Tamandua tetradactyla: one gene and its partner. The protein of the gene in region 1 purifies or fractionates together with the protein of each later gene. This does not show direct contact. Links are inferred from orthologs where the notes say so. Each region holds a gene or a part of one and is shown on either strand. Other genes may lie near its edges.

The links.
Region 2: the proteins of TCOF1 (region 1) and ARRB2 purify together in Homo sapiens (affinity purification with western blotting; 4 studies listed by BioGRID and IntAct, with this or other methods). This does not show direct contact. The link is inferred for Tamandua tetradactyla from reciprocal best matches to the Homo sapiens genes TCOF1 and ARRB2.

What each region holds. Positions count from the first base shown.
Region 1 is NC_135346.1:31,141,897-31,153,743, forward strand, and holds the start of TCOF1 (treacle protein), read left to right. Parts: upstream 1-6,942; 5' UTR 6,943-6,999; coding exon 7,000-7,107; intron 7,108-9,503; coding exon 9,504-9,559; intron 9,560-11,747; coding exon 11,748-11,847.
Region 2 is NC_135332.1:60,670,126-60,681,610, forward strand, and holds the start of ARRB2 (beta-arrestin-2), read right to left. Parts: upstream 6,358-11,485; 5' UTR 6,347-6,357; coding exon of another isoform or gene 6,324-6,346; intron 6,087-6,323; 5' UTR 6,085-6,086; coding exon 6,032-6,084; intron 3,429-6,031; coding exon 3,398-3,428; intron 2,764-3,397; coding exon 2,703-2,763; intron 2,591-2,702; coding exon 2,546-2,590; intron 2,325-2,545; coding exon 2,128-2,324; intron 1,839-2,127; coding exon 1,779-1,838; intron 1,574-1,778; exon of another isoform or gene 1,387-1,573; coding exon 1,319-1,386; intron 1,174-1,318; coding exon 1,038-1,173; intron 830-1,037; coding exon 745-829; intron 472-744; coding exon 399-471; intron 88-398; coding exon 1-87. UniProt on the Homo sapiens protein: Functions in regulating agonist-mediated G-protein coupled receptor (GPCR) signaling by mediating both receptor desensitization and resensitization processes.

The DNA of each region.
Region 1 (11,847 bases):
CACAGGTACCCTAAGGGAGGTGTGTGGTCTAACATGATAGTTCCCAAACCCGGAAGCATTAGAATTGACTGGAGAGCTTTAAAAACATGGATGGGGCGGGCCGCGGTGGCTCAGCGGGCAAGAGTGCTTGCCTGCCATGCCGGAGGACCCCGGTTCGATTCCCGGCCCCAGCCCATGTAAAAAACAAACAAACAAACAAAATATAATAAAATAAGAAAATGTTTAAAGATGTTTCCCTTTCTTCCTCCCTTCCTTCCTTCCATCCTTCCTTCCTTCTCTGTCTTTCTTTCTTTAAAAAAAAAAAAAAAAACATGGATGCAGGAGTCCCCCCCCCATCAGAATTGCCTGAGGTGGGGCCCGGGAATCTGTATTTCTATTGAAACCCCAGGTGATCCCGATGCAGGTGAGCCAGGTTTGGGACTCATTAGACGGTCATTCCAGGCGAGAAAACTCTATCCATCCCGCCTTATTTCTCCCCCCATGCCCAGTGCCTTCCTGCATCCTGGTTAATCATCACCCTAAATAGTTGATGCCAAGCAGGGTGCTGAGTGAGAATGAGGGAGCAGATGAGCTTCCAGAATGCGGCCCCTCTCAGCCACCCACTCCTTGGTAACCACAGGGAAGCTGAGAAAGAAGGCGGGGAGGCGGGCGCAAGCACTCGTACCCCTCCAAATGTGGAGGAGGGTCTGGGGTGGGGGGGACGCAGCCAATCTCCTGACTCCCTGCCTCCACCCCTAGCAAAGGCAGCATCACCTCAAATCACTGAATTCTAGAACATTAAAGGCAGACTGATGGTTTCCCCACAGCAGCCATTCACGGCTGTCTTACCACCTGTACTTTTATTTAATTGGTGCTTTCTTTTACTTGACTCGCTGTTTTTTACTTGAAAGCCTTCTGTAGCCCCATCCTAAGCAATAATATCTGTGAAATAACAGGTTTGATGTGCTAGCTATTTTTTGTCTAATATACACTAAAATAAATACACAATGATTTCAGTCTTAAAATGTCCATCTATTCATCTCCTGAAATCACTTCGTGCATCACCAGAAAGAATGCCCCACACTTTCAGAAACAGTGAACTACTCCAGCCCTCCCATTTTACAGAAAAACTGAGGCCCAGGAAAGGGCAAGACTTGTCAGAAGTCAGACTGCTGGGGTTAAAGCCCATATTCTCATAGGCACCTGTACGGGAGAAGGAGGGGTGCACACCCAAGGACCTCTGGCAGGTCCAGGCCCCTTGGAGTCCTTGACCTTTTGAGAGCCCTTCCATTGGTCGTGCGCTGCCCTCTCCTGGCAGGTCCTTCTGTGATGCATGTCCACCTGGAAGGAGTTGCCGGAAGAGGGGGCCCTTATTGCAGATCAGAGATGACTCAGCTGGAGGCAATCAGGGAAGGCAGCCTTGAAGAGGCGGCATTTTCACTTGGCTTTGAAAGATGAATAGAAAACAATCAAACTTCAAAGAGGAAAAATGCAGTTCTGTTCAAATGGCACGAAAGGGAGTGAGATGTTCCCAGGACAGCGAGTACTCACATTTGGTTGCCAGTCCAGGAAACAGACTGGCTGCCCCAGGCCTTGAGGCTGATAACCATTTCACAGGCCTCCTAGGGTAGGGTGCGAGTTAAACTGGTGAGTGTTTTTTAGAGCCACTCATTTAAGCCTTCTGTAAATGTGAGTTGCTACTATTACTCAAAAGGGTGTCTAAAGAAATGTTCTGATACGTAATAAAACATAAAAAAGTGACTTGCAGAGTTGTATGTTTTGGATGAACTCTCTTTTGTTAAAAAAAAAAAGAAGGGAGAGAGAGAAGAAGAAATGAAAAGGGTAAGGGCAGGGAAGGACTAAACCCTTGTGGGGGCAGAGGGCCAAGGATGTGGGGAGTCTAACAGCAGGCAGCTGAAATAGGATGAGGAGGGGCCCAGGTGGGGTTGGGAGGACTGGGAATGGACAAGAGGGAGGGAAAGATGACCGGCTTTGTCTATGAATCTCTGCATTGTTTAATTTGTTATTTCAGGTGCGTATACTTGTGTACACTTTTAAAAATTCCGGTGAGATTGAGGAATGAAAAAAGAGAGATACTATCATCCCATGAGAGGAAAGAAAGCCGTGGGAAGCCTATTGACCAAAGTGACTCAGCCAAGAGAAAACAGGCTCTTACACCAGATACAGTGGACTATCTTTGAGTCCTGGGGGCAAGGGCAGTCTTCCCACACGAGACCCTCTCTTGAGTGTCCCAATGCTGGAGGGGTCCTTGACTGACCCCTTCCTTTGACAGTAGGAAATGCTAAGATGAGCAAGAGCCAGAGACTGACCCAAGGCCACCCAGCAGAACCAGGCCCAATGCACTTTCCCAGATCCCGGCCTAGTGGTCTCTCCCCCATGGAACACCATCTCCTACTTCCGGGCAGGATACATCCCTGCTGGAAGGAGAAGAGGACAATGCCCCACTTGTTTAGCTCCCTTTCCCTTCTGCCAGCCTTCCTGCACTAACGTTTCCCTCACTGGGCCCTGCACGGGAATGCAGGATGACTGAGGCACGCTGCTTGCCCGTGAGGTGCTCACAGTCAAGTGGTCTGGAAGTTTCTGGCTTGTATGGCTAACAAAGACTTCTTTTCCTAAATGCAAGAGAAATGCTCTGAGGCTTTTTTTTTTTTAATGTACTGTTTTGTTTGCTGTTGTCTTAATTGTTGCCATGTTATATTTTATCAGTTTAATGTTTTAATTTTGTGCTTGGGCCCCGAGGCAATTCAGTGAAGGGTATGATTTGGAAAATCAAGGAGATAAAGAAATTGTCCGCATAAGATGCAGCCTCCCAGGAGCCGGGGACAAAGCGTAAGTGCTGAGAACGAATTTTATTAGGAAGAAAACAAAAGCAAACAACCTGTTACCAGACAGAAGGTAATAGACCATCCCGTTTTTCATTTTTTTTTGCTTTTGCTTTTGCTTTTAAATTAATACCAGTTCTCCATTTCTACCAAGGTCAGCCAAGGACACATGACCCAGTTCCTTCTCCTTTTCCAGAGGCCTTCCATGGTCCTGCTTCCAGGGCTATGCTCACAGTGAGTGCCCTGCCTGTTCTGTCCCCCTCTCTTCTGTCTATCACAGTCCAGTCATTCATGCAGCCAATATTTACTGAGCAATTTCTGCGTGCAGGCACTGTGCTAGGGGCTGGAGATAATGCAGCCAACAAGACAGCCATGAGTCTGCCTTCAGGGAGCTTACATTCTACTAAGGCAGGCATTCTCAACGGGGAGGTAAAAACTGGTTCTTGGGGGGGTGTGTGAAAAAAAACCTTAGCTATTACAATAGTTTGTATGCTCTATGACCCCCTTTACCATCTCTGTGAGTAGCTCGTCCAGCCACCCAAGCAGAAAGCTGGGTGTCATCACTAATTCAAGCTACAAGCTGTCTCTGTTCTCCTGAACCAGATTTCCGGTTCTGTACCTCCTAGGGGTTCCTCGGAGGCCTTCATGGTGTCCCTGAAAATTGACCCATCTGCCTTCATTTCACTTCCTACCCAGACTAGATTCCAGAACCCAGCGATTTGGCATTTCTTTTAGTATCTCTCTAGAGCCCTATGTCTCTCTCCCCACCCATCAGGGCCTGGATAAACCCCACTGAGTTCCTTCCACCTGCCTGTGTCTGGGCAGCTGCGCCCTGCTGGAGAAAATGGCTCAGCAGGACAGGACAAGCACACATAAATTAATGACCACCACTCTCAACTGGGTTGTCAACACTCTCAGGGACTTTTGTGTGCAAGCTTCTCCTCAACTATCTGAATGATCATTCTTCTTCCTTCAAACTCCTCACCACCTCTTCTTCATTCTCAGCAGAAGACCTTGCCTCCCACTTTGCAGAAAAAAATAGATGCTCAAGATGAAATCTCCCTTAGCATCCCACCACAAACCTACATCTACATCTGCACCCATCCTCTCTTTGTTCCCTCTTTTGGTTCTAGAGAATACATCCCTCCTCCTCTCCGATCCAGCCCCTCCACCTACACGCCTGATTCCATCCCCTGTTACTTGCTCATGAACATTATATTTGATGATTATTTCCTCTATTCCTTACAGTCCTAATTAATCCCTCCCCCCTTGATCTTCTATCAGCCTTTAAACAAACTCGTCTTAAAGCACAATGTCCCCTCCCCCAACACACACATTGACCATAACACCTTGCTCTCACTTCTATTCACACAAAACTTCCCAAAAGACCCGCTGTCTCTCTCACCTCTCCTTCACCCATCAGACTGGCCACTGCCATGTGACTCTATCCAATCACTCTAGAAATCTCATTCCCTGATGTCACCAACAATCTCCATGCTCGACATTAAAATGAGACCCTTTTTCATGCTTATCCTGTTTGCCCTCTCTGAGCAGTCTCACTGTTGTCTCGTCCCACTTTTCTGAAACTCTTTCCTCCTCTTCCTTCTATAAGCCCACTCTCCTGGGTTTTCTCCCACTTCTCTAGCTGCTCCTTTTCTATCTTTGCAGGCATAACTTCCTTTTCACTGCCCTGCACGTTGCCTCAAAGCTCCATCCTGGACCACCTTCTCTCCTCTCTCTATGTTCTTCAACTTGGGCCATCTTGTCCTCATCCACAGACTCAATTATCATCTCTCTGTTGACAATTTCTCATATTCATATCTAGTCCAGATCTCTATGCTGAGTCCAAACTCATGTTTCCAAGTGCCTAATCAACATCTGCACTTGGTATCTCAAAGGCATTTCAAGCTCAACATGTCTAAAGTAGAACTTAACTTCTCACCTCCATCTCTACTACCTCCCCTCCTCATTCAACCCTCCCACTACAAGCCCCTTCCATTTTTCCTATATTAGTGAAAGTTACAGTCCACGTATTTGCACAGACAACACAGAGTCCATCCTAACATCACCTTTCCCTCACTCTCCCATTCCAGCCCATCTCTATGATTATTTTATTTCTTGAATAACTCCAGGAATCTTCTATCATCCTCTAACTCCACTACCACTCCCCTACTGCAGCCACTATTATACACTCCCCCTGGATGCCTGACTGTAACCCTAACCCCAACAGGTCTCACATCTACTCACACACCCACTACTCCCCTCTCCATGGACATTCACACTGGTCACATTAAAACTCAAATTCCATCCTAACCTTCTTTGGCTTATACCATCAATGGCCTCCAATAGCTGTTTGGATGAAGAGAAACATCCTTGATGTGGAATCTGTCCTCTGCCACCTTCTGCATTCCGCAAGCCCTGTGCTTTCCCTCTGGGTCCTTTTCCAAAGGCTTACCTTTCATTCTCTCTCAGCAGTACTTTTTGCCTCAGGCCCTTTGCACAGGTTCTTCCCTCTGTCCGAGATTCTTCTCCCACTTCCCCTATCCTCTAGACATAGTACAGATTTCTTCACTAATATCATGTCCTCAGGGTATGCTTCTCTAACCCCCAAGCATTCTTGTTGAATGCTTTCACAATAATAACACATACATACACAGCACTTTTTTTGTTGTTGTTAGGAACTCTTCTAAGCATTTCTGCTTAGAACTCATTTACTCCTCACAAGTCAACAGCGTATCTGACTGATTATTTGTTTAGTGTGTGTCTCCCCCATTAACCTGTAAGCTCTATAGGCATAGAGAACTTTTTTATCCACAATAGTAGGGGGTCCACAAAAATTTGCTAACTGATTGACTGTAGATTAGTTTCCTCCCTATTCCTTACATACCACATCCAATCAACCATCTTGTCCTGTCCGTGTTTCTTCCTGAAGCAGAGGTTCCTAATCCTAGAAGACATAGGTATGTGCCTATTTGAGTGCTGAAATAGGTGGAAAATGTCATGTATCTGTACAGATTCAAAATTTTCTAGAGCAAGGGCTGGGTAGTTCACGCTTCCATAGAATTCTCAACGGGACCCATGAGATTAAGAACAAATGACTTAACCCCAGGCTAGCTCATCCTTCCCCTGCCAAACTCCCTTGAACTATAGCAGTGTCACATGTTGTTTTATACCTCACAAATCCATCCTCCATGCTTTGTTCAGAGCGATATTTTTTAAAAAACAAACCATGTCACTCTCCTGCATAAAACTAGCCAAACAAGGGTCCATTGTCCTTGGAGCAGCGTTCTGCCTCTACATGGGGACCTTACGGACCTTTCTCGAGCCTTACGTGTCCTCACTCTGTCCTTCTTCCCCCCAGTACAGGCCAGCAGCATAACAATGTTTCCCCAGTCTACACCAGGATTGTAGGCACTCATGTGATGCCTTCAGTGTGGGGTGTCAGATCTCTCCTCTGCATTTATAAATCTGTGTTCTATCTTTAATCTGTGTCTCTTTAGGGTTAAGCGCCCCTCCTCCCTACTCCCATACGCTGCATACAAAAGGAATTTAACTATAGTTGTTTGGATATCGACTGCTTGTCTCTCCCTTGTGAGCGTTCAGGGCAGCCGCTACTTCTTACTCGTCATTTTATCCCCCCTGCTGAACCCGGTGCTAACCCAAGTTACCTTGTTCAATTTGTTCAATCAGTGAATGAATGAACTAATGACAAGTAGTGCTTAGTTCAAAAGTCCTGAAAAATGCGTAAAATGAATAAAGGCATGGACAACAGGAAGTTCGGCTCTAGGAGGAAATGCCTACTAGTCGAACTCAGAGATGACTAAACCTCGATCACAGCGTTCGGAAAACAGAAGACAAGTTCTTTCAAGTAGCGACTCAAAGGGATTCCGCGGCGGGAGACACTCATAGGATGGCCGTGCAGGAGGCGGGGCTAGTTCAATCCCCGCCCTCCCCTCCTATGGGAGGTCTTATTGCCCTCTGAGTCTCCGCCCCCTTCACCCGCTGGGGTGGGGACAGCCACGCAAAGTTAAAAAGACTACATTTCCCGGCGCGCCAAGGGACCCGGACGAAGGAGGGGCCGGAAGTGGGACGCGCGAGGTCTAAGGGCACGAGGGAAGTGGCGGGCGGGGACTTGGGGGGGGCGTGCAGGTGAGCCGACTGGCCGGGGGTCGTGGGCATGGCCGAAGCCAGAAAGCGGCGGGAGCTGCTTCCCTTGATCTACCAGCATCTGCTGCACGCGGGCTATGTGCGCGCGGCGCGGGAAGTGAAGGAGCAGAGTGGGCAGGTGAGCGTGCGAGGGCCGCGTGCTAGATCCGGAGAGCAGCGGCCCACACCCCCTCCCCGGACTGCCGGGCGGGCCCCAGGAGCTGGATTCCGCCGGGCTCGAGGTGGTGGGCCGGGGCGCCGAAGGAGCCGCAGCCTCTGCCTATCCTGTGGTTCCCAATCCCTCTGGGCCTTAGTTTCCCCATCATTGTAGTGGGCGGGCCAAGACATGTGATAGGATTCCCTGGGCTTTTGTAATTCCCGCGCCCCTCACCTCCACCCCCTTCCTGGGAGCGGCAGTTTAAAGTTTCTTTAGTCTGCCCCTCACCTCCACCCCCTTCCTGGGAGCGGCAGTTTAAAGTTTCTTTAGTCTCTGGCCACGTGGTTCGGCGCTTCCCACCCCCACCCCACCCCACCCCACCCCCGCCCCGGGCCGAGTAGGTTGTGATGGGTCTGAGGGGCGACCAGCCTCCGGAGGAGCCAAGAAGGAGCCCTCGGCCTTTTACTGAATTGAAACTCAAGCCCCTAGCGATTCTTCTTTACTGAATTGGACAGCTTTGAGGTTAGAACTCGTGGGGGAGTCATTTCTTACATCATTCATTCATTTAATAACTGTTAATCTGGCTTCATGTTGCTGATGATAGAATGGTGAGGACGGCTCCCAGCCCACCTGGAGCTTGCAGTCTAGTAGGGAATACATAAACCAAAGTATTAAAAGTCTCTATAAATGTACTACATTAAGTGCTAAGAAGGAGAGCCATAGGGTGCTAAGATATGGTATGGCAAATTGTCCAAGTCACAAGGACTATCTGAAATTTGCTTCCATGAGGAAGTGACTGTCAAGATCCGAAGGAAGGGATGTGGATATTCTAGGAAGAGATGCAAATGCCCTGTGGTAGGAGGGAGCTTGTTTTGTAAGCACTGGTCTCCAGAAAATCCTCTGTGGCTGGGGATGAGGGCAATAGAGGTCCCTGTAGGGACAGGAAAGGGAGCAACGAGTTGGCATGAGTGGGTCCTGTGGTTACTTTCGTCCTTACCTAAGAGTAGTGGGAGGCAGTTGGAGGATTTTAAACTGGTGAGTGGTGGGAGTTAGGCAGGTTCCCTTTTGCTGAGGTGTAGAACTGATCCTAATGCTTGCTCTCAGGTCCTCCCGAACTGTCAAAGAGTGATGGGTCCTGGGGATGTTATTGATGTTTTTTCCAACCTTCCCTGAGCCATGGCTATGCCTCTGACTCCTGTTAGATCACTTAATAGCTAGGATGCAAGTCACCAGTGTCTATCTTCATTGGGGTATATACCCAGGCAAAAGTGTCCTGCCCTCATAGAAGGTACGTTCTATTAGATTGCACATGGTGTGTCAGGTGATGGTACATGCTAGCTATAAAAATAAAGCAGGCAAGGGAGATAAAGAATGTCAGGGGTACGACTGCAAATAAAGTAATCAGGGAAGCCAAACTGAGAAGGTGACCTTTGGGCAGAGACCTAAAGGAAATGAGGATGTACGTGACGCAGCTAGCAGTGACGAGAGCATGCTAGACAGAAGCAACAGCAAGATGCCAGTGGGAATGGGAGGTGGGGAAATTGGGGCAATGAGGAGGCCAGTGTGCCTGGGACAGAACAGAGTGAGGCTGACACTTGGTGTTCCCTGTGTTATGGAAGGAACCTGAAGTTTGAGGTGTAGAGATTAGCCCAGGGATACTCAGGGATTCCACCTCAAACCCAGCTCTGCCTGACTCCAGATGCTGACTCCAGATGCTGACTCCAGCTCTGCCTGACTCCCTTTTGGGGCCATTCTGCCCAGGTCTGTGAACCTCTGTCCTCCTCCCACATTGTTCACTCAGACTCCTTGGGGCTGAAACCCCAGGTTCTTGATATTAGCAGAGAGCATAGGGCCACTGGCCTTGGCACTGAAGGCTTGGATTCCACCCGGTTTCTTCCCCTACCACCAAGGCACTGACAACATTTGGGCACAGCTTCTTCCCAGCAGACAAGTGGACTGTGGTTGTGCCTCCTAGATACCTTGGGTGTCTGGATTATGGTTCATACTGCCTGAGAGAGATTGACCTGCCAGGCCTTTGAAGGCCCTTTGAAAGGTCAAAGTAGAAAAAGCCTCATCTCCTGGCCTCTGAGATGGAGAGTGTCTGGGAGTTGGGTGAATGCTAACCTGGAACATTGCAAAATTCAAAGGTATCTCTTACCAACATTTGTCTTAGAAGGTTTTAGCTGAAATTGCTTGTCCTGTTTGTCTCTGGAAGGTTTTGAATGGTGCTGACAGGGCTAACCAGGTATGTTTCCCAAAGCAAAAAGACCCCCTTTTTAACCAGCTATCCTTGCCGGTCATGAGGTTGGGGAGAGTTGGGCCCAGAGCAGGAGCTTCCTGTGCTGGGGGGTTAATTGCTGCTCTCTTTTTCTCTGCAGAAAATTTTCCTGGCTCAGCCTGTTACCCTTCTGGACATCTATACACACTGGCAACAGTGAGTCTGATGGTGCTAAAAGGGTGGAGCAGGGACATCCCAAGAAATTGGCTTAGAATAAGCCAAGAAATTTATCTGGTCTAAGATGTGTCCCCATTTCCCACTGGAACACCGTAGCTACCTCCAGGAAGCCAGGTCACATGTCTGGATATTTCTAGGTATAGGAAGGGACATTGAAAGCTGTGATCTTGTAAAGACAAAAACTCAGCAGTTTGTCATTTGTTCAGTCAACATACATTTATTGAGCGCTTACTGAATGCCAGGTCCTCCTGTTCTAATTATAAAGATATTGTGCTGAATGTAACAGACCTGAATGGCATTGTAATCAGGGAGGTGAGCATGAGTCAGAAAATGAAACAAATAAATGTTAAATTACAGTGGTAGTAAGGGTTACAAAAGAGAAGTACCCGGTGCCCAAACTACATAAACAGGTTAGCCTGCCCTCGTTTGGGAGTCCAGGGGCAACTTCCCTGAGGTGACATGTGACTTGAGAGCTGAAAGAAGTAGAGTGAACTAGGCAATCGGTGTAAACAGGCAGGAGTGTGTGCTTAGAACTTCCAATCCCCGTGCCTGGGGGACATACAGATGAGGTTGAGGGGTTGACAGGGCCCGCCCCTGCAAAGCCTGGTCTTCATGTGAAAAGAAGTAAGCAGCAAGAACCCTGGAAGGGTGAAGCAGGTGATGAGATCAGCTCATCACTCTGCTGCAGTTTGGAGAGCCCAGTCGGGGGCTGTGGAGATCATCTCAGCAAGACCTGACAGGACTTGAGGCAGGGATGACAGGAGGTGGAGAGGGTGGACAGTAGATTCCAGGAATATTGGGAGTTGAAACCAAGATCTCTGGATAGATTGGGGAAGACTAGTTTTAGAAAGATAGGTTTCAACTTTTAAATATAAACATTTGATCATCATTGCTGTCCAAAAATGAGTTATGCTGCAGTAGGAGTGGTAAGCTCCCCTATCATCGGAGGTGTGTAAGCAATGGCATGAATGGTGTGGAGGGAATTTGGGCCTCCAGTGGGCATCAAAAAACCTGCCAGCCCTCAGGTTCTTGGCTCTCCTCTGCTGCTAAGTCAAGCTCAGAGCCCAGGGCATGTACTTCCTCTTCCTCAGCCTTTCAACTTTCTCAGGTGTTTGGGTGTTATTCATAGCACTTCCTTCCCCAGAGCACAGCTTCAGTGAGCTATACCATACACCTTTCTGTGCCACTAACCCTTTCTATGGGGGAGAAGTACTGAGTAGGCCCAGAATCGCGTACCCACCAGAGGCAGCCTAGCCTAGTGGTTCCTGACAAAGTTCAAACCCAGCAGCTAGCAGGATGGCCTTAGGCAAGTTTCATGGCCTCTCTGAGTCTGTGTCTTCAGCTGCAGAATGAAGGCAGTGTCCATCCCAGCCAGAAATCACCAGGCATAGACAGCGGCTCCCTTGGCTGCAGGGGGTAGGGGTGGGTATTCAAAGGAGATAATATTTGAAGGTTTAGAGGACTGAGTGATCTGGAGCCTTATCCCTCCGATGTCCCAAACTTATTCTTAACCCTGAGCAAGTCACTGAGTCATTCATTCTCTGAGACTTGTGCTAGGCACTGAGGATAGTATGGTGAGCCGGCAAAGTTTCCTGCCAACCCTCCTCCCTCCATCGCAGCCCAGCCTTTACTGTGGGAAGTCAGGCAGGAAGTAAATAAAAAAACCTGAGAGAGAGAAGTGCTCTGCAGAAAATGAAGCCAGGAGACAGGAGAGAACGACTTGGTAGAGAGTGAGTTCGCTGGGGAGCACCTTGCTGAGGCAGCGGCACTGGAGTTGAGATTTCCAGGAGAGAAGGGCCTGGGTCTTCCAGGAAGGGAGCCCACCCTGAGGAGCAAGTCCTGGAGGAGACAGGAGCCTATTGGTGTTGTAAAGTGTCCACATGGGCCCAGCACACGTGGCTCGGTGGCTGCTGGCTGCTGCTGCTGTTATATAACATTATCAACCATTCATGATTCTCTCGAAGACTAATAGAGGATTTCAAACCCACTTTATGAAATGAGTGAAAATACAGAATACAAAATTGTATCTACAGTGTTTTCATCACTGCTTAAACTCTCTGTGCTTGTTTCCTTTGAGGGTGGGAGGATGTGGGAAGGTCTTCCTTTTCAAATCCCCTGGAGTTATCATTTCACCCAGTTGGTACAATCAATCACCCTTGCCCTGCAGAACCTCAGAGATTGGCCGGAAGCGGAAGGCAGAAGATGATGCGGCACTGCAGGCCAAGAAGGCGCGTGTTTCGGACCCCATTAGCAGCTCGGAGAGCTCG
Region 2 (11,485 bases), on another chromosome or scaffold:
GCAAGGCCACGCTTCTCCCGGTTGTCACTGAGCAGTGGGGTTATGGTGTACACCTTACAGAACGTGGAACTGGGGGACACCTGGTCACTGAGGGGTAGGATGAGAAAACAAAGACTCTTGGGGGGGCCAGGCTGGGTAAGGGGCAGCCTGCCACCACCAGACTTCATCTCCCACAATACTAGCCCCTTCCCTCTGTAGGTGTAGGTCACATGGAGGTAGGTTTTATTAGCTCATCCTGCTCAAGGAAATTAAATTAGCAGCTCAGAAGCTTCCTGACTGTGAAGGGAAAGCACTTTTAAGTGGAGATGGTTTTGCAAGAATTCCACCCCCCTCTTCACACTCTCCTGGCCCTATTCTTCTCCCCTAAGATCGGGACCCACATCTGTTCTGATACTCACTCTTGTTCAATCTGAGCCACAGGGCACTTGTACTGGGCGGTGCTGAAGAGGCAGATGTCAGCATACTGTCTCACTGCGTGACGGGGGGGAAGCAGCTTTGGATGTGGCAAACTATTGCTCCACCACAGTTCCAGAGCACATGTCCCGGGCCCCAACCCAACACCACCCCGATCCCTCTGACACACAGCCCTCCCCGTAGCAGTAAACTCTGGGGGGCCCCCTATAACATTCTGGAACAGTCTAAACTCCTTCAGCCCTGGTGGGTATGTCTTTGGGCTGAGATCACACCAGAAGCCACTTCTAAGTATTTCCCTCCCCCGAGACCCTCCCAACCCCCACCTCCTACCAGAGACTTTGATCTTCTTGATGGTCTTGGTGGAGTTGTTGGTGACGTGGACGTTGACATTAAGGGGCTCCCCATGGTAGTACAGCTTTTGAGGAGGAGGAGGGGTGAGTTAATTTGGTCTCTTTTTCACGCGTCCAATTACTAATTTGCCCCAATGTGTATCCATTATTCTGCTTCCTCCTCTAACTCCAAGCCTATGGTGACTCTCCACACCCAGCCAGAGGCCATTGTTGACGTGTGGTTTCACCCCTTCCCCCACGGTGTGGCACCTGTGTCACCCTCTCATGCCCCACCTCCTTGTCCAGGGAAGCCTCGAGGTGAAGGGACCGGTCGGACATGAGGAAGTGGCGTGTGGTTTCAGCTGAAGGCTGGGGACCGGGTTTCTCTGGGGCAAACTGCACCTTTCGGATCACCAGTCGCACAGAGTTCCTGAGGGGATGAGGGGAGTGGGTGGGGGATGGGAGTGGTCAGTTTCCAGACCCCCAAATACCTGCCCCCACAGGGGCCTGAGGCTCACGGAAGTGGGAGGGAATGGTTACTTCACAGAGATCACAGAGGGGATTGCTTCCCTCACCTTTTGTGGCTTTTTTCTTCTAGTGATTTGGCACAGAAGGCTCGAATCTCAAAGTCTACCCCACAGGCCTTGGGAAAGGGAGAAAGAACCACATTACACAAGGCCCGCTGGCCACCACCAACACCCCTTCCTTCCTCTCTCGCCTGGGGCAGGAACTCTTGCCCCATCATGGTCTGGGGAGGTAGGAAGTGAGTCTTCTTCCTCTGCCTCCCCAAGGCCTGGAACCTAGCAGAGGCTTGTTCCTGGCAGTGCAAGGTGAGCCTGTTTCCAGGTACATGCAGATCAAGAAAGCAGGGGGCAGTGTCACAGGTGGGCAGTGACTGTACCATACACCCAACCTGCACTCAGGATACTTCCCTACTCCTGGTTTCCCCATGGGCCACCTCCCTCTCAGGTGTGCTCCCAGGCTCCTGCCGAGCTATGCCCTGCCCTACTACCCCCAAAGCTGTTCCTCTCTCACCTTTCCTGTGTCCTCAGGTCCTGGCTGCAGTGTGACGGAGCAAGGCAGATTCTGGGGTATCTGTGGCAGAGGGAAGGGGAGGCTTCAGTCCTTCCAGAAAGTCCCCAAATCTTCCTCCCAATCTCAATTCAAGAGGCTGGATAAAGGCCTCCTGGAGATAAGAGAGGAAGAAGGAAGGGGACCCAGGGAGGAGGCAACAAGGCAAGGGCTTTCTGAGTACAGGGACCTTGAAGGGAGGTGGACCTGGGGTCCCTGCCTCACTGTTCATCCAGAACTGCCCATGACAGGTGCCCCACCCTCCAAACAAGTCCCAGATCGCTTGCCCTGCAGAAAGTGGGGGTATCCTCACTGTGAAAAAAAAGGGGTGAGCATGCTGTCCCAGCTTCCTCAGCAGCCGCTCCTGCAGGCGGGTAGGGGGCCGGGGTGGGTTGGGCATCGGGGGGAAGGCCTGGTAGGTGGCGATGAACAGGTCTTTGCGGAAGGACAAGCCCAGCACATCCAGGTCTTCACGGCCATAGCGGAAGGCGCAGGTGAGGGTCACAAACACTGGTAAGGGAGGGCAAGGTGGGGTGGTCAGGAGCCTCCTTCCCCAGTTCCCCTTGGACCTAGCAGCAGCTGCTCCTTCCTCAAAGCATAACCTCTGCCTGAATCCTACTCCTCACTCCCACCTCAGCCCTCCATCTCTCTGGGGCACCCTCTCAAGGCCAGCCCATCTCACCTCCCCGCCTTCCTACCTCCCTTTGGGCCCTCGGACTTGGGGTCAGTACCTTTACGGTCCTTCAGGTAGTCAGGGTCCACCAGCACCACGCCATCTAAGGAAGTGACACATGGGTTCATTTCTTGTCAGGGCCTCTCCCCCATTTCTGGGCCCAGGAACTTCATCCCTTCCTGGGGAAGGAGCTGTCACTTTCTGGGAAAACTTACCTACAGGATCCACTTTGTCCAGGTGATCTACAAAGTCCCGTTTGCCCAAGTACACGGTGAGCTAAAGGTGTAGAGGGGTCATAGGGGAGGTTGGGTAGGAGGGTGACGGGGTCTCAGAATCCTCAAGTGACTGCCCTGACCTGGGTCTTCCCTGGCTCGGATATTAGGAAGGAATTTCTCCTCTTTAACTCCCAGCGGCGCTGGAAGGGCTGGGTGGTGAGGTTTCCTAGACTGCCCATTCTTTAGGCTTTTCAGCTGTTCCCTATCCTCTTTTCAATCCTCTGCTCACCAGTCAGGTGTGTGTTTGGGTCCTTGGGGAGGCCTCAGCCCTAAGGAGCAGCTATGGGCCTCAATCACTCCCCTCAAGGGGCTCTGAGATAAACAGACCATAGCCTGGGAGCTGTTAACTTTTCCCAGCCCCAGGTATCGGGGTTGGCTCCTAAGAGGGCTGCAGGCACGGGGCTTCTGGGCCCATCCCCTTTGGCCTTGCTTAGAGACTCAGGCCTCTCCCCACCCACCCCTGCAGCAAGCTCAGGCTGAGCAGCCTCTGTGGCAAGGGGCTTCAGGAGGGAAGGAAGTTGGCTCTTAGCTGTCACAGGAAGTGGGGAGCTAGGGGTTGGGGACCATCTAGGGGCAGGCTGGGCTTTGTTAGGGCCTGGGGAGTGTTAAGGGGATAAACGCTGTGGGAGACTCACCTTGCAGTTAGGGCTCGACTTCTTGAAGACCCTAACAAAACAGAAAGGGAAACCCCACTGCCTCCCTTAGACTCAGCAGGGACCCCTGCCCACACCAGGACCTCAAACCTCCCCAGCCAGAAGCAGCTCTTACCCAGGATTCCTGTCTGGATGCTTTGAGGCTTTGCCCAGTCCTTCCCCCTCCCACTTCTTCCCAGAAGGAAAGGCAACCAGAGCTTCTTAATATTTCTAACACAGCAGCCACTTGCAGCTGGTTGTCATGGCAAATCCCCCTTTTATCCTTGGCCCACCCTCACTAGCCTCCCTCCCCTAATGGTAATGGCTTCTGGTTGCCACAGGAACTACCCCAGAGGACCTAAAGAGGAGACCTGGATGGGCAGGTAGCAGCAGTGTCTGTGTATGGCCTAACCATCTTCCATCTGCTCTGGTCCATGCCTGCTTAGCGAAGGGACAGAGGTCCCAACCTCAGAGACAGCTGGAGTACTTGGAAGATCAATGGCTTTAGCTTTCACCCCTAAAATGGTTTCTATCACAGGAACTACCCAAGTCTGACCAACTCCAATAACCTCCAGCGATCCCCATCTCTGATCTCAACACCTTAAAAGCCAATTCATCTTTCAAGATCCAGCTCAGATGCCAATTTTGGGAAGGAGACCCAGCCCAGACCCCAGATCACTTCTTTTGGGGTTTCTGTTATACCTTGTTTATGTCTGAACTGTGGAGTGATGGCACACCAACGGTAGCCAGCTGTGTCATCCGACTATCTCCTTAGACAGACTGTGCTCATCAAGGCCTTACTCAGTGTACCCCCGCCCCCGCCCCCCACACAATGTGGTGAAGATGGTGCTACCAGATGATACCCATGGGGTGACTGCTCCATGCTTGTACTGTTCGAGGGTTTCATGTGTGTTATCTCATTTAATACCCTTAACAAGCCAGTGAGGGAGGTCCCAATATCCCCGTTTTACAGGTGAGGAACCCGAGACATAGGCCTAGTGTTTTTTTTGTCTAAGGTGTCTCAGAGTGTAAATGGTGGAACTCAGATACAAACAGAGATAGTCTGGCTGTGAGTCGATGCTCTTAATCAAACTACTGTACTCTCCTGCTTCTGTAAGTGGTAGCAACAGTTTGTTGGATTGGAGGAGATTTGCTTTCCTGTTGCTGAAGCAATCTGAGCCTTGACTCCATCCCCTGCTGGGAAGGTAGGGAAGTGTCTAGGGACTCCAGTGCTCTGGTCACTTGTGGGCCTGTTCTTTGCTGCACCACCTTACTCCTCCCAATCCACTCACCTTTACCAGTGATCCCTGGAAAGAGCCTCCAGAGAGTAGAAACTGAAATCCTGCCAGTTGGCCCATCCCTTTCCATTCCCACTGCCCCAATTTCTGTTGTAACATCATTTGCCCCTTCTTCCCCAGAAGGCCAAGCTGTCCCAAGGCCATAAGGTAAAGGGTACAGATGCCTCCTGGTACCCTTAATCAATCAAGGAGAATAAAGCATCCCACTTCTTGCCCCGACTTGGGAACTGATTGCAATGGTATCATCTAGGCTTTCCCACCTCTTTGACCTCAGTTACCTCTGAGTTCCCTCTTTGTCTCAATGTTTCCTCCTATTAGGAACCCTGGCAGAGGGTTGTAACAGCCACAGTCAATTGGCCAAGTGAAGTGTGGCTCTGGGGCAATTGCCATTTGGATCTTAATCCAGCTACCTCCTGCCATGCTAGGTAGAAACCATGTGTGTAAACTGAGGTTAGCCAAGGAGGTGGGGTGAGGGGGTGACCAGGGAGGTGCTCAGTGAGGGTGGGGGTGGGGCAAGAGATGCCCCCTCACACTTCCTGCCATTCTCTCCACTTCGTGTGGCCTAGAATTTGATGGGGGTGGGGGAAACTGCCAAGTCAGCAGTCCTACTTTAGTCCATCTATCCCCCTCCCTGAACTACACAACGGAAATTGGGGGCCTCCTTCAAGTCAGGGACTTCCGCTTTCTCTGGGGTGTCCTCCAGTCCTCCCTCTCCAATACTGGGCGACTTGGCGCTTAGAAACTGGGGTTCTCATACTCCCTGGGTGGGGCGTGCTGGGGCTGATATAACATTTTGCAGAAGTGATAGCTCAGGACCAGGTCCTGATCCCCTCTGAGTTGAGGCATAAGGTTGCAACCTTTTACTCTTTGCTCCTGCTTCCCAGGGACTAAGCATCTACCCCTTTCCCCCTTAGGGGTGTTGGGTCACAACAGGAAGTGCATTTTGCTAGAAGCCAAAAAAGAGAACTCGGGGTGTCAGTGGAAGGAAGGAGCCTCGATTGCACCGAAAACATCCGGGGAGTAGATGTTATGCCCAGGGCAGATACTACCCTCTCCCACCCCCGCCCGATACCCAGAGTGTGGGAGGAGTTGGGCCCAGAATCGGGGAGGGTCGCCATGAACTCTCTTTCCCCAAGATGAAGGTGTTACTGTTAGCAACCTGGGGGAAGGCAGAAGTTTGGAAGCGGAGCGACCCAGTCCTCGGGACAGATGGGGGCAGTACAACTGCTTATGGGATACTGGACGGGAGGCTTTCCACTGGCTCGACATTAGTTTTGGGGCTTCCTATCCCGACGTCCAGCCACTCCATACACATCCCTTTGGGGCCACCTGCTCTTACCCCGCCCTTGCATCGCAGCCTGCACGGAGAACCCAGGCGTCCGGCCCCCACATCCCTACAAGAACCCAGACGCCGGTTTCCTGGTCCCCTTCAGCCCTCGCTTCCTAAAGGGGCCCGGGCATGCGCCCCCATTATCCGCGAGGACCTAGGTGTGCGGCCCTGGATGGCTGCCCCCTAGGGACCCAGGAGTCCGGCCCCCCGGATTCTCTCCCCTGTGTCCTTGTCTGGGGACCATCCCAGCACCAGCCGCGAGCCGCCGCCCATGCCCTGCGGCGTGGCCCCACCTCCCTACCTGGTCCCGGGTTTCTCCCCCATGGTGCGCGCGCCCGCCGTCAGACGCCCCGCCGGGTTCGCCGCTCGCTCGCAGCCTCTTCGCCCGCAGCCAGGTCCCTACTCCTCCCCGCGCCAGTGCGCACGCGCGTCCTCCGCTCTTTCTCCTCTCCCTCCTCCCGGTCCGCCCTCCCCGCCCCCGCCCTCGGATCCTGGGGAACCGGGGCCAGATGCGTCAACCCGGATCGCGCGCGCCGCGGCGCTGCCCGCCCTTCCCTCCCAAACACGCGGTGATTGGCTCCGCCCTCACCCTCTCCGCCCTCACCCTCTCCGCCCTCCAGCCCCGCGAAGAAGCTCTCCCGGCGTGCGCGGTTCCTACCGCGGCTCTTCCTGCCCATTTCCCCGCCCCGCTACATTCCCTTAGAAGCTAATTGGGTTCTCTTAATCAAAGGTTCCCGCCTTCCAGGAGAATGGAGGACTCTGATTGGCTTCCGGCATGCAGGACCTTGCAGGGGTCACCTCCCCTTTGTTTGCTTTCTCTGTGGCGGTGGAGGCGTTGGGGGCGTTGGGGGCGGTGGGGGCGGTGGGATGAGCCTAAGCACATTCTGGGAAGGAGGATGAGGGGGATTCACACGTGGGTGAGCGATTGCAGTTGCGTGATATTTCCTTTTCTGCGCGCTGCTCACCGGCTCACCCCAGAGTGAGCAGCCTTATTCGGCCCTTCATCCTGCTTTATTGTGGTGCCTCAGCTCCCCCTGGTGTCTATCTTTGCTCTTCGCAGAATTCTTTTTCCTAATTTCTCCTCCATCCACCCTGGATCCACCCTCCTTTCCATCCATCCTATTTTGTGCCAGTCCTTACGCTAGGCGATAGGGACACAGACGTGAATTAATGAATTAACATGGTCCCTGCCTTCCGAAGGGTCGAGGGAGACATAAATAGGTATTAAGAGACCAAGAATACTATAATAGAGGTATGACTCAGAAGACAAAGTGTTCTTGGGAGGGGTTGAGTGGGCTGTCCAGAGGAGGGGACATTTGAGGACAATCTTGAAGGATGGGCAGAAGCTGGGAAAAGGTATTCCAAAAGGAAGGGGGGAGGACAAAAGATACTTCCTGTTTTGAAGTGTTTGTGGGGTAGAGGGCAGGAGAGATGGGGTTGGAGAGGAGCACGGGAACAGGCTGTGGAGGATTTTGTATAGCCAGCAAAGGAATGAGGCTAAAGCTGTTCTTTCAGGACACCAGTGGTGGCTTTTTTCTTTTCTTTTTTTTAACTTTTATTGAGAAAACCAAACAACATACAAACACGAACATTCTTAACATATAAACATTCCATACTTGGTGTGCAATCAATGGCTCACAATATCATCACAGTTGTATATTCATCACCATGATCATTTCTTAGAACAATTTAATGAGTTGCGGCTTTTTAAAGCAAGGGTATGGCATGATGAAATTTCTTTAGGAAGACAGATCTGGGCAATGTGGAAGGTGGAGGTAATGGGGCAAGACTGGGACAAGGTAAAGGAGTTTAGCTGTATGTAAATTAGTCAAGGGAGATGATGAAGTCTTACAATGGGAGGGGAGAAGAGGGACCAGACTGAAGAGTCATTTCTGGGGTAAAATTGACTGGACTTGGACTTGGGAAAGGATGATGGATGACTGGAATTTCTGGACTTATGTAGGGAAGGTATTTCTCCTTCTTCTATCTCTTGTCTTATACTCCCCTGTACACCTAAACAAACTACTTCCACACGTCTCCCTCTTCTTCTCCATGCAACCAAAAAAGTAATGTGTGTGACCCGACAATTTCTGATCTTTAAAGTTCAAACACAGGCTTTGCCACCAATATTTCCCTCCACCACCCATCACCCAATTTCCTCACCACCTTCTAAGCTTGTTCTTCATCCCTGTTTTAGTTTCCTATACTGCTCAAGCAAATACCATGAAATGAGTTGGCTTACAATGGGAATTTATTAGCTTACAGTTTGAGGCCACCAAAATGTCCAAATCAAGGTATCATCAAGGAAATGCTTTCTTTGCGAAGACTGGCTGCAGAGATCCTTGGCTTCTCTGCCACATGGCAAGGCACATGGTAGTTCTACTGGTCTTTCCCTTCTCTTCCTAGTTTTGTTGATGTCAATTTCTTACTTCTGTGGCTTTCTCTATCTTGGTCTGCATTTCATTCTTATATAAAAGACTACAGCAATAGGATTAAGATCCATCCTGAATGAGGTGGGTCACACCTTAACTGAAGTAACCTCATCAAAAAGTCTTACTTACAGTGGGTTTACATCCACAGGAATGGATTAAATTTAAGAATATATTTTTCTGGAATACATTAGGCTTCAAACCACCACAACCTCTTTCAAGCTTTATGCTTTTTTGGCTTGTGGATGAATTTGATCTAAATTTGACTTTGGACAAAAGGTTATGGACAAAGGGTTTATGAGATCTGTATTGCTACATATCTGAAGTACCACTGGTACAGAAAGGCAGTGGTGCGCTTGACATGAAAGCTACCATATTAAAAGATAGTAATGTATCCCCCTCTCTACGTGGGACATACATCCCAGGGGTGTAAACCTTCCTGGCAACGTGGGACAGAAATCCTAGAATGAGCTGCTACTCAGCACCAAGGGATTGAGAAAACCTTCTAGACCAAAAGGGGGAAGAGAGAAATAAGACAAAATAAAGTGTCAATGGCTGAGAGATTTCAAACAGAGTTGAGAGGTTGTCCTGGAGGTTATTCTTATGCATTATATAGATATCACCTTGTTAGTTAAGGTGTAATGGAGAGGCTGGAGGGAAGTGCCTGAAAATGTAGAGCTGTGTTCCAGTAGCCATGTTTCTTGAAGATGATTATATAATGATTTTAGCTTTCACAATGTGACTGTGTGATTGTTAAAACCTTGTGTCTGATCTTTTATCTACCTTATGGACAGATGAGTAAAACATAGGGATTAAAAATAAATATATAATGGGGGAACAACTGTTAAAATAAATTTAGTAGATTGAAATGCTAGTGATCAGGGAAAGAGAGTGATAAGAGGTATAGGAAAAAAATAGGGGAAACAAAGGCTAAAATATATTGGGTAGATGGGAATACTAGCAATCAATGAGAGGGAGGGGTAAGGGGTATGATATGTATAAGCTTTTTTCTTTTTATTTCTATTTCTGAATTGATGCAAATGTTCTAAGAAATGATCATGGTGATGAATATACAACTATGTGATGATATTGTGAGTTATTGATTATATACCAAGAATGGAATGATCATATGGTAAGAGTGTTCATTTTTGTATGCTGTCATGTTAAAAAAAAAAAGGTAGTAATATATCCTGGGTGGGAAAAATCAATGTTAAAACGATGTCATTTCTTCCTAAATTGTCTATAAATTTAATGCCCCATCAATCAGAACAACAATGGGATTCTCTGGGGGAGGGGGTGTTGACAAGTTGATTCTAAATGTAATCAAAAGAACCCAATTTCAAGTATAGCTAGAGAAATTCTAAAAAATAAAGAGTGAACAAAGAGTGAAGTAGATACTTGCCTTCCCAGTAAAGATAATTTTTCGTAAGTTACAATAATGAAAACTGTGTTATTGGTGCCATAGAACAGTGAAACTGAATATAGAGTCCAGAAAAAGACCCATGTAGTAGCATTTCAAATCAGTGAGAGAAAGGATGCATATTAACTAAATAGTGTTGACAACTGACTATCCATTTGGGAAAAAAAAAACTCTATTTCACATCTTAAATAAAATAAATTCCAAATGAATTTAAGTTTTAAATGCACAGAGTAAAACTATGAAAATATTATAAGAAACTACATGGAATAGTTTTATAATTGTGGGAGTAGGGGCAGGCCTTCCAGAATATCAAACTCCAGGACTATAAATAATAATAGTTAAGACTTCATAGCATTTACTCTGTGCCAAATATTTTCCAAGCACTTTAAGAATATTGACTCATTTAATTTCACAGCCCTATGTATTAAGAGGCCATATTTATCCTCATTTTACAGAGGAAGAAATGGAGGCAGTTATGTAACTTGCTGGGTTGCACAACTACTAAGAAGAAAACTGGTGTATGAACCCAGCAGTATAGGTCCAGAGTCTGTGCCTTTAATCATAACACCTTACTTCAAAGAGTCTAAGAGATTTAAAAACAGCATAAGTAAAATAAAAAGACAAACTGGAAGAAAACGCTTGCAACCCATATAACAGACAAGAGTAATTTCCCACATGTATAAAGAGTACCTACAAATTTATATGATAAAGACAAGCCATTGGGAAAGTAGGTAAAGAATATGCAAAGATAATTAATACAAAATAAATACAAATGTCTACTAAACATATGAAAAGTTACTCCATTTCACTAATTGGGGAAAACAAGTTAAAAGAAGGAGTTATTATTTTTCACCATTCTGATTAAGAAATAAAAAGACAAATAATTAGCATTGGGAAGGGGATAAAGTTCAGAGCACTATCCTACATAGTTGCAACATAGCTAGAGGACATTTTGGGAGTTTCTATCGAAATAAAAAATAGGTGTTCTCTCTTACCTAACATTCATTCATTCATTCAACAAATACTTATTGAGCACCTTTTATGTGCCAGGCATTGTTCTAGGTGATGGGAATAAAATAATGAAGGCAGGATCCCTTTCACGGAATTTATTTACACCACTCTGGTTGCTGTGTAGAAAAGGGACTACAGAGGGCCAAGAGCTGTGAAGAAGCTACTGTAAGAGGGAGAATGGTGGCTTGGATTAGAGTAGTACTAGATATGGAGAAATGTAGAAAAATGAAAACCTAATAGGATGTATTTTGACTGCAGAAGTGCTGTCATACAAGACAATAAGGGAAGATAAACAGAACTCTTAGACTCGAATATTATAATCACAAAGATACACCAAGATAGAGGCATTAGAACCTTCACTACATTGTATGTGTTAATGAAAAATTGGAGCTGTCGCAAGAATTCAGCAATAGCGGAATTGTTAAATAAATCGCGATGTCCCCATTTCATATTGTAACATGGAGTTAAAAAAAACAACGTGGAGGCCCACGATACATATCGAGTAAAGAAACCCAAATGCAGATGTCACTCTTTGTAAAACTATGTACATACGTATTTGTGCACAGAATGATATTAGGAAAGTATACACATTACTGGAGAAGA